Linked DNA regions of Tribolium castaneum. The protein of the gene in region 2 interacts with the protein of the main gene of each other region in a biochemical or structural test. Links are inferred from orthologs where the notes say so. Each region holds a gene or a part of one and is shown on either strand. Other genes may lie near its edges. The genes, in order: Iswi and Acf.

What was found.
Region 1: the proteins of Acf (region 2) and Iswi form a complex in vitro, tested with the Drosophila melanogaster proteins (3 studies listed by BioGRID). The link is inferred for Tribolium castaneum from reciprocal best matches to the Drosophila melanogaster genes Acf and Iswi.

Annotation. Positions count from the first base shown.
Region 1 is NC_087402.1:7,784,928-7,792,158, forward strand, and holds the start of Iswi (chromatin-remodeling complex ATPase chain Iswi), read right to left. Parts: upstream 3,024-7,231; 5' UTR 2,860-3,023; coding exon 2,809-2,859; intron 2,728-2,808; coding exon 2,146-2,727; intron 1,792-2,145; coding exon 541-1,791; intron 308-540; coding exon 1-307. Other genes in the region: uncharacterized protein LOC660873, read left to right, coding at 3,298-3,300, 3,349-3,870; Rpi (ribose-5-phosphate isomerase), read right to left, coding at 4,575-5,276.
Region 2 is NC_087396.1:20,813,539-20,820,612, forward strand, and holds the end of Acf (bromodomain adjacent to zinc finger domain protein 1A), read right to left. Parts: coding exon 6,750-7,074; intron 6,703-6,749; coding exon 6,532-6,702; intron 5,595-6,531; coding exon 3,672-5,594; intron 3,283-3,671; coding exon 3,074-3,282; intron 3,024-3,073; coding exon 2,848-3,023; intron 2,795-2,847; coding exon 2,663-2,794; intron 2,447-2,662; coding exon 2,125-2,446; intron 2,078-2,124; coding exon 1,954-2,077; 3' UTR 1,827-1,953; downstream 1-1,826. Other genes in the region: CDAN1-interacting nuclease 1, read right to left, coding at 643-1,009, 1,061-1,110, 1,238-1,547, 1,598-1,695.

The DNA.
Region 1 (7,231 bases), on a different chromosome or scaffold from region 2:
GAAGCTCGAAAAGTCTGGGAGGGAAAAACTGGAAATCTTGTACGATAGGTTGTTTAGGAGGACGTGGTGCTTTCGGCGCTTTGGGCTCAGAAACACGTAAAGCTTCCCTGAAGTAGGCATCGACGGCATAATTGGCCTTTCTTTCACGCTTCGGAGGCTCGATCCAGGTGTTCAAACCGATGTTTTTCTGCTTTTCGCGATAATCCTCGCCTTCGAACTTGTAAACGGACTCTGTTGGCGTGTCCACAGTGAAGTTGCGCAAGGATGACTCGCCGAGAGCTTCGAGTTTTTGGGCCAGTTCCGCTGTCTAATTTTTTTTTATTAGATTAATGTTATAGTCAGGGAGGAGCACAAATAACTAGAGGATTCGAAACGATATACTAATTTAAACCTCCTCGATAGTTCAATAAATTAAAAAAATGGTTGTATTTAAATAACTGTGAATACAACGCAAATAAAAAAAAGTAGATTAGATCTCGTTTCGTCTCCTACGTAGTTAGGAGGTGAACTTTGTTAGTACTGGGAAATTAAGTATTTTACCTTTGCTTCGCCTTTTTGTAAGATAGTGTCGATGTCTTCATCGGTGATTTCCGAGTCTTTCGATGCGAAGACATGATTGGCCCCGTGCCGGATCATGTTCAACATCTCGTCTTTGTTCAAAGACTGCGATTTGTTGTCGATTAGACGCCCTTGTTGTATCACTAACTTGTCTAGCCTCAGCTTGACTTCGGCCCGTTCTACGATTTTTTCCTCGACTGTATTTTCGGTGATAAGTCTGAACACACGAACTTGTTTCTTTTGGCCGATCCTGTGCGCTCTGTCCATGGCTTGGAGGTCCATTTGCGGGTTCCAATCCGAATCGTAGATGATGACAACGTCTGCTGTTGCTAAATTAATACCCAAACCTCCGGCTCTCGTCGACAACATAAAAATAAATTTTGAGCTATTTGGCTCATTATATTCGTTGATTTGGCGTTGCCGGTCCTCGTGCGGCGTCTGTCCGTCCAATCTACAATAATTGTACTGTCTCCAGTGGCAGTAATCCTCCAAAATGTCCAACATTCGTGTCATTTGTGAAAAAATCAAAACCCTCGAGTCCTGCTCTTTTAATTTGGGCAGAAGCTTGTCCAAAAGCACCATTTTCCCGCAATTGTAGACTAAATGTTCGTCGGTGGTGTACGGGGGCCCAGGCTCAGCCCCATCGAACAAATAAGGGTGGTTTGAACACTTACGCAATTGCATGAGAATGTTCTGTAGTCTCATTTTTTCTACTTTACCGGCCCCGTTTACCACATCAATATCCTTCATCAGGACTTTAGTATACCACTCGCGCTGCATTTTGCTCAAACCGACGTAAACTTTGAGTTCTTTTTTCGGTTTTAATTTTTTCTCGACCTCGGATTTGAGACGTCTCAATAGAAACGGCTTCAAGACAGCGTGCAAGCGTTCGACTAACTGGTTATCACCCAAACACTGGTTTGTGTTAAACCAAGCGTCGAAATCATCAGCAGAGTTAAAAACATCAGGGAGTAAAAAGTTAAGGAGGGCCCAAAGTTCGTGTAAATTATTTTGTAAGGGGGTACCGGTGAGTAAGAGACGATTTGTTGTTTTAAACTCACGGAGAATCTCCGATAATTTCGATTTCTCGTTTTTAATACGATGAGCTTCGTCTATTACCATGTAGCGCCAGTTGAATTTCTTAAAAACTGATTTTTCTTTGATAACCATTTCGTACGAAGTCACACAGACGTCCCAATCGCCTGGCATCATCACGTCCCGAATGAAAGCATTCTAAAAAAATAATTAACGAAACACAATTAGAATTAAAGGATCCATTCTATCAAAGCGGGGTTGTTATGATGACTAAGGTTGAAAAACATCTTAAATTCATAGAAAAATATAAAGATGCTTCAACTTTTTCCAACCATATTCTCTCTTCTAATCATTTTTGTACTGACAGTGATAAGGAAGAGGCCTTAACCTTAACCCCCTGTTACCAGCCCCCTTTTACGCCACTGATGAAGAATGTAATCGCGAAAGCGCTCTGTCCTATCACTCTTTTTGGATATTATAAATTTTTACGTAGGTTGGACTTTGTGTTTTCCAACCTTAGTCAAAACACAATTAAACTAAACCAGGTCTTACCCTGGCCTCTTGGTCCCCAATGAGACACACAGCGCGGATGCTGGGACACCACTTCTTGAATTCGTTCATCCAATTGGCTAGAGTCGACTTGGGGACAATCACAATGTGAGGAGACGGCGTGTTTTTATAATGTTTCATGAAACCTAGCAAGGAAATGGTCTGGAGCGTCTTCCCGAGCCCCATTTCGTCGGCCAAGATCCCATTGATCCCGTTTTCGTACAAAGACACCATCCAGTTCAGCCCCCGGATTTGGTAGTCCCTCATTTCCCCGTTCTTGATGAAAGGCGGCGAGGCTTCGAACCGAATCGTCGGTTTGGCCTTGGCATTGCTTTCGGCCAGCAGTTCTTCATCTTCTTCCTGCTCGGTCTTGCGGTGGCGGTGGTCCGCCACTGGGTCTTCCTTGATTTTCTTGGGACGGCCCGATTTCGGTTTCGAAGGCGTTTTGTTTTGGTTCATAAAGTGGGAGAAAATCTCGGTTTGTTTGAGCAGGTAATCGAAACGGCGGCTGCGGTCCGTTTCGAGTTTGGTCTCGAAGTCTTCGCCCTTCCCACGCGACGAGAGGGTGTCCGAAGACGAGGCATTCTTCAATTTCATAAATAAAGCAGAGTCAATGACCCGTTTTTACTTTTACTATTGTGGTTGTTTTAACAACAAGGCTCTTACCGAATTCTCACCAGTGTCAGCGGTTTCACCGCCTTCTTCCACTTTGGACATGGTGCTGGGTGCGCGAAATTCTTAGCTAAAACTACGGAATGTTGGTTTTTAACGACGATAATTTGGAAAAATGCCGTTCATTTAATGATTCGGAAGCGATACGTAGCGGGAAACACTACGAACTAGTCGCAGGACGGCCGCATCTGGGGGCAAATGCGTCAAACTGGTGAAACACCAACAATCCCTACACACTTTGAGCCCATTTTCGGGCGAAAATACAACAATAATTGCATGCTGCACCCCACAACAACGAGAGAATTTTATGATGTGGACAAATTTTTAAAAGACAATTTTTCATAAGGCGGTGAAAGCGTTTTAGACGGTGGCCTTGTAAATGTTGGTAGTCCCGACTGTCAGATTGTTTAAAACGCCGGATGTTTGGTTGTGTTATCTCAACATCAACAGTTTTGGAATAAAAACATAAAACCGTTCCTGATAATGGTAATTGACTATTTTCAATAAGTACTTAGGCGTTAGTATTGATTTTAGACGACGTCCCCTTCCTTTGTTTTAAAAAAGAATCTCTCCTCAGTTCGTAAGAAGATGGCAGGCTCCAAATTTGAGTTGACTGAAGAGCAGAAGAACGATATTAAAGAGGCGTTCGATTTGTTTGATAATGAAGGCTCTGGGAAGATCGACGCCAAAGACCTGAAGGTGGCAATTAGAGCGTTGGGATTTGAGCCAAAGAAGGAAGAAATCAAGAAAATGATTGCTGATATTGATACACAGGGAACTGGAAAACTGTCTTTTGATGATTTCTTGCAATTGATGACCATGAAAATGGCCGAAAAGGATTCGAAAGAGGAGATCATGAAGGCGTTTCGCTTGTTTGACGATGACGAGACCGGAAAAATCAGTTTTAAGAACCTGAAAAGAGTGGCTAAAGAACTAGGAGAGAATCTCACAGATGAAGAATTGCAAGAAATGATTGATGAAGCAGACAGGGATGGAGATGGTGAAATCAATCAGGAAGAATTCTTGCGAATTATGAAGAAAACCAGTTTGTACTAAGTTGGAAACATACCAGGTGATTTCGTAAAATGCTAAAATGACAGCCTTACAAGAATTAAATGCACAGTTTCCTGTCCTATTCGCAATTTAATTTGTTTAAAATGTATTTGGTTTTGCATTAAATTGTAAGGCTAGTCTAGTCGTCTTGCGTGAATCACCCTGTACCAATTAATTGTTTGGAAACGTCTAGTCACCGTTGCACAAATTGTCAGTATTGTAAGTAGTCTAATATTTGTAACTTCTTAACTCAGTCTTAATCATTTTCCAAATTTTCATGCATTATTTTTAAGAAAAACTCGTATATATTTCTACTAAACCATCAAAAACAACGTTGAATTTGACTGTGATTTTTAACCCTTTTTTTCTAACTCAGATTTTCCTAAAAACATCAATTTTAAAATCGACTCATTTTTCTAAAATAAATTGTTTTTAGAAAAACCTGTCTGAGAAAAAAAGGGTTAAAAATAAAATTCAAGTTGTTTTTGATGTTTTAGTAGAAATACGGGTTTTTGTTAAAAATAAAGCGTAGAAACATGACAAAGATGAGTGGGCAAATAATCTGAGTTAAAAGGTTACACATGTTAGACCACCATTGTAAAATGTGTGTTGCACGAGATGCTTTATTTAATTTTGAAAATACAACATATAAAAATATAAAATATATATTTTTAAATAACATTCCTTCAAATAAATCAATGGATGAATTAAATTTGTTCTTTGACTGACCCATCGGCCAACCCAAAATAGGCCTTCTTGGCCATGTTAACAAATAGTCCCGTCTCCACAACTCCCGGAATGAGATTCAATTTGGTGTTGATTGTGTCCCATTTATAATCCTGGAAGTTTTTCCAATCCAGGATAAAATTCCCATTATCGGTGACCACAGGTCCAGCTTTGGCTTTAGCCATTCTGAGCTCAACTGTCCCTCCCAGTTGGTTTTCAATTTGCGTTTTAATGGGGAGATAGGCCATCGGAACAACTTCAATCGGAATCCCCTTTTTGTATTGTTCCCCCAGCTTTTGTGAATTTTTGGTATAATCCGCTATAATAATTAACTCCTTGGCGCAGCTAGCAACAATCTTCTCCTGCAATAAGCATCCCCCACCTCCTTTAATCAATGTCAAGGTGGAATCAACTTCATCGGCACCATCAATGCAAACATCCAATCTTGGATGTATCTCTAGGTCGGTTAGGTGCAGCCTGTGCTGGATGATCAATTGCCTGGCTTGAAAGGACGTTGGGACACACTGTACATTTAATTTTTCGTTTTTCACACGTTCGGCTAACCTCTCAACGGCGTAAACAACGGTGGAGCCGCTGCCGACACCCACAATGGAATTGTTTTGCACGTGGAGGTCCACAGCTTTGTAGGCCGCCAGTTTTTTAGCACTTTCGAGGGATGCCATCGTGACGAATGATCTCCTTAAAAGTTGAAATAAATTCATGGATTTTAAGATAAATTATTCAACTTACGTTTCGCAACGTGCTCATGCGCCTCTGCAGCTTCCTTTTGTGGCTCTATTTTCAAAGTTGCGAGCTGGAAACCGGATAAATTGCACGCTTGTGGGAATAATACGTAACAATTTAATTACTTATTCAACGTAAACAACTATTACCAGTGTCGTTTTCCCCATGTAATTATTTATTACTCCGTTGGTCATCATTTTTTAACGAATGAGAGTGATTAGTGATTTCTGATTTCATTGAGAATGATTTAAATTTCATTAAATCTACTCGTATCATTAGTTAGGTAGGAGTACACGAGTTATTAATATAGCATCATTTTCAAAATGAAAAGAAAATAAAATATATAATTTTTTTTTCAAAAAGCCTTAACTTCTTCACTTTTAAATACCTTGCTACCTTAAGTTTTAGAGTTGTCTTCCTAGGGGTGTTTTCAAATAAAAAAAAATGGGGGGTACAATAGAGTTATCAATTTTTGAAGGGGATTAAAGCATTTGAAAAAGGTAAGTATAACACTTACGTATTCTGAGGCCAGCTTTTTTTGGTAATTTAAAAAAAAATTGTAAAATATTTGAAATAATATTAAAAAACGCAAAAAATACTACGTACTACATATTTTTCCGATTCATTTCGGCGATTTTTCGGTTTATTCTTTGGCAGACTGGTGTTTCTAGACAAAAAATGTGCCGACCAAAAAAACGCATAAGCGGCAAAGTAATTTCATTTTGGATTCAATTTACTAGTTTTTCAGCTTAGTTTAGCCAAATTTCGAGAAGAACGAACTGCCTTTTCATCTTAAAAACGTGTTTAAATTAAATTAAAAATGTAAACAGTGCTCTAATATTATGAAATATTGTAACTCGGCAAAAAATATTGGTTTCATAATTTTTACTGTGAGGTGAGATGCGGATAATACTTGACCTGGTATTTAATTTAATTTCAAATGCATCATCGTCAAAAAACTATTGTTTGCTAATGTTTTTTCACGTGTCCGGAAAATTTTCGAACGTGCCATAAAGGTGCACCTTAACTGGTTTAAATAACACCACTTATCACAATGATACTAGTATGGATATCACGCTCTTTTTGATGATTACAGGTATTTTAATTAAAACTTGATAGTTGCACTTACAGTTGGCTCACTTACTGATTTTTTTATTGATAATATACCTACTTGTAGTCGAACCAAATCAGTAAATAAATACAAAAGTATTTTATTAAAGTAGTTGAAAGTATTCTAACAACTCTTATTTCCTGAAAAAAACGGAAGTAGTGAGATGAATTAACAACATAAATTGAAAAATCTAATAGTTCATTATTTATTATATTACTTCACATTTTTTTTACTTTTTTATTTGATTGTGCATGTCTTTAATAAATATATCGGTTAAATATGATTTCAAGCGTGTAAACCTGGCGTTTTTTAATATTTGAAACTTTTTAACAAACATTGGTTCAAATAACTATTTACCAATCTGAAAATCTGAGACGCTTTTCTGCAATTCCGCCTTTTATCTCCAGCTCTTCTAATTGGATGGGGATATTAACATGAACACCGTATCAGCAAAGCTCTATATTTGGATGCAAACTGGTGAACAGTTATTTCTCTAGCTGATTATTGGGAGCAAGCAATTAGACTTCAGCTTTAAAAATTTTAGAACCGACACTTAAACTGAATGACGTGTAACACAATCGTGCTTTGCATCAAAATTTTTCGACCAGACTTGTGTAAAATATGCATGTTTGTTCGAACGTAGTGTTTCCTGCAGCTCGCCTTTTAATCTAAGAAAAATGCATCAGGAGATTTATCTTTATCTTGCGAAAGTAATTTTGCCAAGCTTCTGAAAGTTGTGTGCGGGTAAACTAATGGAAGGTGCGAGACCATTTTGAAATATTT
Region 2 (7,074 bases):
TGTTTAATTATCCCTGTTGTGAGCTTAAGCAGTGATAAAATCTTTCTTTCAATACTGAGTCAAAAAAAACGACAGAATTAATAATTGGGTATTATTATTCATTTGGACTGGGGTGGCTCTGGAAATTTAAACTTTTGTTGGCTGTAGTTGGCAGCTACATATTTTTTACTAAATGTCAGTAACTGTCATATTAAGTGCGTATTCGAGTTGGAGGGCTGTCGTTATGCAACGAGCGTAAGCGAGTGCACACCTACACACCCAAGAACTTTAAGCGTCTTAGTATGAGTGTTATTAAATTTTTTTGTCAGAAAATTTTAATTTAAAACACGTTGTATGGGAAGCGTGTTTTAAAATAGTGTTTATAATATAGGATTCAGGTATTAAAAAGGCTTGAAATGTTACCAACAAAAAAAAACAAATTTTCAAAAGTTTTAGGAAATTTATTAAAAAAAAAAAACGTGATAGGCAAATGTGACATATATTTTAGTTATCAGTAACCAAAATCGGTATAAACACATAAAGGACAATGAACTATATCTCAACTTGGGAGATTTTTTAAGGCCAGTTCACACCGTCATAGCCTTCTCTGTTAACTCCAAACAAATGCAAATAAAAGCCAAACTTTTTCAATAAAATTTTTATTTAACGAAGGTAATTAATGTGGACAATGTTCGTGGGCATGTGGTCTCTAATGATGAACCTTTTGTCGTCCGCTTGGACTATGCTTTTGACGAAACCGAACCAGTAAATCACTAGTCCGGGCCCAAACCGATTCCAATAGCTTAGGTATTGGTTTTTCGTGTACTCTATGTGGACGTCGTCATCGCCGAATAGGGCTTTGCTCTCGATCCAGTTGATGACAAAGCCATCAACTGCGACCGGAACGTCCAATTTAACATCGGGAGTTTTATCGTAGCCGAATTTCCTTAAATGTTCCTCGTCTCTGAACGCTAGATTCAGTTTCAGGACTTCGTTGTGTAATTTAATTTCGTATTCCTGGCCGAGAGAACTAGAATGTTTTTTACACTACTTTGTGTTAATTGAATGAACGAATTCTTACTGTTTCATGGTTTCTGATAGTGGACTGTACAAATTGTCATAGATTGTGCACTGGAAAACACTATTGTTTGTATCATATGAGCATGTAAATGAGTCATCCAAGTCGCCTCTGACCCGAATTTTGTTTCTAAGGTGACTTGGATGACGCATTTACTTGGTCATACGTTAGATTTCTTACCAGAAAGACTTCGTAGGCTAAATGTGGGTCTGGAATTAGAGAAGTATCTCTTAAATGAGCGTTAATTTGTGTCAATTCCATATCGCACTCTTTGAAATACTTGTGTAGGATTAGTTTGGCGATGAGACAAGGGCATATGTCGAATCGTTCGGCCATTCGGAGGATTATTCCAGGGCCGGCCCCCGTTTTAACGGCGTCTTGATACACATCCCAGTATTTGTTAATAACTGACTGGTTTTTAACGTGATTCATTCTCATACGTTTCTGGTATTCCAGCGATAAAATGCTGTAAAGTGTATCATGGTTTATGCTGGAAAACAAAATTTTTATAACTGATTTTAACACAAAACTGGGCCATACTGGGGGAAATTGTTAACTAGAATGGAGAGGCAGTTTTTAGAGAGCCCTTTGTAGTTCCGAATTACCGTCACAATGTTTCTGTACGCGCTCACATCCATGTTTCAGCTGAATTGTTTTTTGAGGTTATGTCACAACTGAAGATGGATGGCGCTTAAGCACGAAACGTGACGTAACTTTTTTTTCAATTTCATTATGATTAGGATGTTTGGGGTGATTAAAACAACATTAATTAATATAAAAACTTTAATAATCATAAATAGTACCTACAAAAACAGCTAAAAGGGTTACACAGTACAAATCAAAGGTAGATTTAAAGAAAAAATGTACAATGATAGAAATAAGAATACTATATAATACTATTTCGTGCGTATTTTCTTTTTCGGACGTGCATTCGGGTCATTATAATCCATCTCCTCGGGAAGTTTCAACCCCAACTCGCGACACTTTTTCTGAAAAAGCCTAAGCAACTGTACGCCACATCTGCAAAAAAATCATCAAACCATACACAATCACAAAAAATAAATTACTTGTAGACATCGTCCTCGGTGTGATTATACGTGTTACAATTTTGAAACACCAACAGTGCATCTGCCATAAACTGAGCATCTTCTTTATACTCCCCCATGTTTAATTTATACTTAATTGTGCCAAAATCCATCGGTTTCGTAATAACGTCGTAATAATCAGGTACCTCAATTTTTTGAACCGGCCGTAAAAACGGCCACGCGTTTGCATCTTTCATCACCTCGGACAGAACCGCATGCAGTGCCGAATTGTGCAACGGCAGATCCGTTCTGCCCTCATCTCGACGCGTCGCCCTTCTACTAATCACCTCCTCCTCGCTTGAGTCTAAACAAAAACGTTCAGAGTTTAAGTTAATGCGCGATTATTACATGATTGGACCAATTAAGTCACGTGAACCAGTTGCTAAGCAACTAAGTAAGCTACCAAGTTACTAGATTTAAATAACTGTTCCTTAGCAGCTGGTATAGCAACTGTCAATATGGGTTAAAACGATGGAAATGGTGAAATGTTAGCACGTGTGAAAGCTTTATAAGAACCCACCGTCAGAATCTGAGTGTTCTCGAAGACTCTTTGCAAAATCGTGGATCTTATACAAGGCTTTTGCAGCACAGCGACGCTGGCCATTGATTTTTCCAGTGCGCTGTACCACTGTACCATTACAGTAGCTCGTGTCTGTACAATAGTACTGATTTATAGCAGTTCATTAACGAATTACTTGTACTTACCGTAATTTCTTTTTCTATCGTTATTTTTCTTACATTTCGTACAGAACCAGGGGCCTCTGGGGGCCCTTCGCAAGGGCGGTTCCACACATTCGATGTGATAACTGTCCGTGCATTTATCACATTGGACCATTTCGCCCCCTGAACCACAAGTTTTACACAGATCGGGTTTAGGTGACCTGGAAATTTATTTATTGGTAAACAAAATAAAAAAAATGTCAATAGAGACGTTTCTTCATTTTCGTCCTGTTCTTCCTCTTCTTCGCCATCTTCAGTATCTTCCTCTTCATTATTACTTTCCAATTGTTCTATTTCCGATTCTTCCTCGTCGATTTCTTCGTCGCGGAAAATCGGACGTTTCTTCGGCGGTGATTCCACCACTTCAGGTTTCTTCTCTTGTTCGCATTTATCACAAAACCAATCGCCCGGCGGAATGCTCTACAAAAATCGTGCAAATGCAAATTTTGATCAACAACAGAACTCTTAAATGCTAACTACGGATATTGAAAGGTTAGGATAGGAAACGACCTAAAAATAAAACGTTCCCGCCTTCGATAGTTCCGTTAATGTCGCCAGAGAGCGCATTTGTTCCACTACCATCGAAGTTTTCAGAGCAATGAATTTGAAAAAAATGGTTATTTGTAAACCATTTGCAATCAAAAAAACTCTAAAAAAATTAGTTGGCAGTTTTTCTTAGTCTGTTAAGAATGCAAATATTTCTGCATTTTTTCCCAAGTAGTTCGTAAATTGGTTGTATTTAAATTAATTTTTACTCTGCCGTACATTTTTTTCTCCTAAGTTATAGTCCTTCGTAGTCGTGCCCTTACCTTCAGTTTCGGTTTAAGACAGTACAAGTGAACCCCTAGATTACAACCATCACACAGCAGCATATTCTCCGAGTCGTTCTTCCTCCGACAGATCCTACACTTGGCCAGAAGCACAGACTTGGCCCACAAAATGCACGAATCCAGCGTGCTATAATGTAGAAAAATCTGACTGAAACTGGTCGACGCCAACAACGACTGTTCCCACTTAACTATGGTGTTTTCGTCCATTTTACTATTATTACGACCTGTTGCCACACATCCTAGTGGTTTTTTGAGGAATTTCGGTTCAACGGCTTGCGCTACTTGCGCCAAAACCACTGCCAAACTCGGAATTGCTCCCTTAATGTCCTCGTTTTGCGTTAGCGGAATTTCATTATTGTCAATATCTGGTATTAAATAATGACTAGGATCAGTTTCCAGTTCTTTCAAATCGTTCTCATCCCGTTTTGCTAAATTCTTGTCCAGTTCTTTGTAATTCTTATTCTGGAGATCGCTCCTCCACTTTTCGCGGTCTTTGATATTTAGGGCCCCCAGACTCCCGGCGAAGATTTTCTCCTCCATTTCGAGAATGTTCTCGATGAGGGCGCTATGTAAGACGTCGGTGGGCGTCATATCTGGGGGGTACCCCAAGTTGGCGTCTTCATACTTAGGTTTAACTTTCCTCCGCTTGGGTTCTTCCCGACTTTCCATCTCGAAATTTAAGCTATTGACGGGCGTTTCGCGGATTAATTTCTCGATATCGTCCCGGTTATACGTCAAGTTTTGTTGCAACTCACTCTCGCGCACTCCTCGCTTGTTCAAACCGTCGATCAATTGATCGATTTGTTCGTTTTCGTGGTAGAAACCCCACAAATTTTTCCGACGCTCGTTCGAATGGACGACACAAGTGTCGGGGTTGGCGGAACACATCATTAAATCATCGCAGAGTTCGATTTTCTGGTCTAAAACACCGTTGCATTGTCCGTTTTTGCGATTTTTCGCCGGACTGTTCTCCTTATCGCTGGAATTTGATTCTTTGAGTGTTTTCTTCAAGTGGTCCAAAACCTCGTCACGTGTCGCATTGACCAAATGCGGCATTTGTTCGATAATATTGCTCAAACAGGTGCCTGGATTTTCCTCTTCCGAGTTGAGGAAAAATCCAGGGATGGACTCGAGGCGATAAAAGCGGCGAAACGCCCGGTCTTGTCCCAACAAGACTTGTTTCTCGTACACCGCCTTTTGTAACACCACCATTTTCCGCTGGTTTTCCATGCGTCTATGCTCGGCTTCCGCCTCCAACTTGCGTAATTCAGTTGCCGCTTTCTCGTCCGTTTTCGCCGATTTTTTCAGCTTGAACCTCGCAGTCAGAAACTCCTGTTCTCGCTTTTTCTCCGCGCTTAAAATAGTTTTATATTCGTGCTTCGCTTGTCGAATATTCTCCATGCGTTCCTCGACAACGTCCCTAACATCGGCATACGTCAACAGTTGATTCATCAAACACGACAAAATTTGCAACTTATCGACGATCGGTAACTCAACCACGTTGTGGGTCTTCAAAGCTTTGAGAATATGGGGGCTGTGGAGACGTAAATACAATCCGGGATCGTCTTCGCTTAAGTAACCCCCTCGTTGTTGGTAGCGCCATCTCGCGCCGCTCATTTTTATTATAGCACCGGATGATAACAGGTGTAATCTTAACACTTCCGATGTCGTAACCGAATAGAGGGGTAATTGGGCCAACGGAAGCCCTTGGTATTTTTTGCTCCAACCGGCGGCAATGGTCGCTAATCGAGTGGCCTCTTGCAGGTTCATATTATCGGAAATTTCCTCCTGTTTCAGGTTCAAAGTCTCGGTTTCGGTGCGATACTGAGAAGCCTCTTCCTCTTGCACGTGGAAAAGGGCGAGCAACAGCATTTGGAACAGGTCGATGAGGGGGCCAGCCACCTATAACAACGTTCCAAATAATGCAAAAAAAAAAACTGAAGTGGCACACTGGACGTCAAACCGAGATTCATTAATAACTTTTTATTTTTTTAATAAACAGTCATTCCATGATTACGGACGGGACATAATTGTGTCAAATTTTATTTTCAAACTGACTTATCAAGTTAAATATTTATGCCGCCAACTTTTCCAAAATCGTTATAGATCATTGATTACGGACGGGACAGTAAAAATTGTGTCAAAAATAAGTAAAAAACTGTAAATACTTTCAAAAGAACACAAATATGTTAGAGGGGCTAGATATATTTAAATGATTTTTTCATGAAAACAGATAATACAGCGAAAGTGTATGATAAAAAAAGAAAATAGTGAGATTACGGACGGGACACAAAAAATTATGTTGCAATTTTATTATAACAAAAATAATAATCGACTAACAATTATCAAAAAGAAAAAGTACGTTAACAATTAATGTTTTGGTAGTTTTGGAAAAATTATTTCAGTTACATAAAAGTTGTCTTTTATATTGTCAAAACATTCCGAAAGTTTTGGTGCATAAAAGTAACAGTTAATAATCTCAGAAATTAAAGATTTTAGGGTGTTATAATTTGGTCTTTGAGGGAATTTTTTTTATTGTTTTAAAAATAAATAGAAATTACGTATGTATGCAAAATTCCACCTTATTCGGTTAACAGCAACCCTCTCGAATTTGACTCGGAAAATATGAAACCAGAGAAATAGACAACAAGGCAAGAAATTAAATAAAAACTTAAAAAAACATTTAATAATAATTGATAACAAAAGGAATCCATTTTTAGCTTCAAAGTGCAAGTTTTTTAAAATTGTACGGGAGAAAATCGTCTTGCATAAACATTATTAATGATTCTTTTTCCCATTCATTCAGCCATTTGAAATGACAATTGTTTAAAAAAAATACCTCATTTTCTGTCAATGCCCTCTCCATAATCTCGAGCGAGAGCCCCCCTGGGAAAAAATCCTTGGTGTGCAAAAGTTTGGAAAACGTGTTTGCAAACTCTAGCACCATTAAAACGTCCCCCACGTATTCATCGGCAATTTTCAGTTTTACTGGACTAGCTTTTGGCAATTTCTACAAAAAAATTAATAATTCCAATTCGTTTGCAACCAAACACGGACTTTTTGATCGACAAGTTCCAGATCCTCTTTTGGCTTATTCCAGTTCTTCAACTGTTTGGCAAGTTGAAGATTCTCTTCCTTTTTCTTCTGCTTCATTTCGATTTTTTTCTCCTTCTTTTGCTGCCTGGCCTGCTTGAATTCCTCCTCCTTCTTCCTCATTCTCTCAAGTAAATCATTGTTACCGTTCTTCGCAAAGTTGGTACTCTTCGTGAGGTATTTATCGAGCGATTCTTGTCGCGTTTTCTTGACGAATTTCTTCGACGGACTGAATTCGGGCGGTTGGCCGCCGAAAATTTTATCGAAAGTGATTTTATCCAAATTAAAG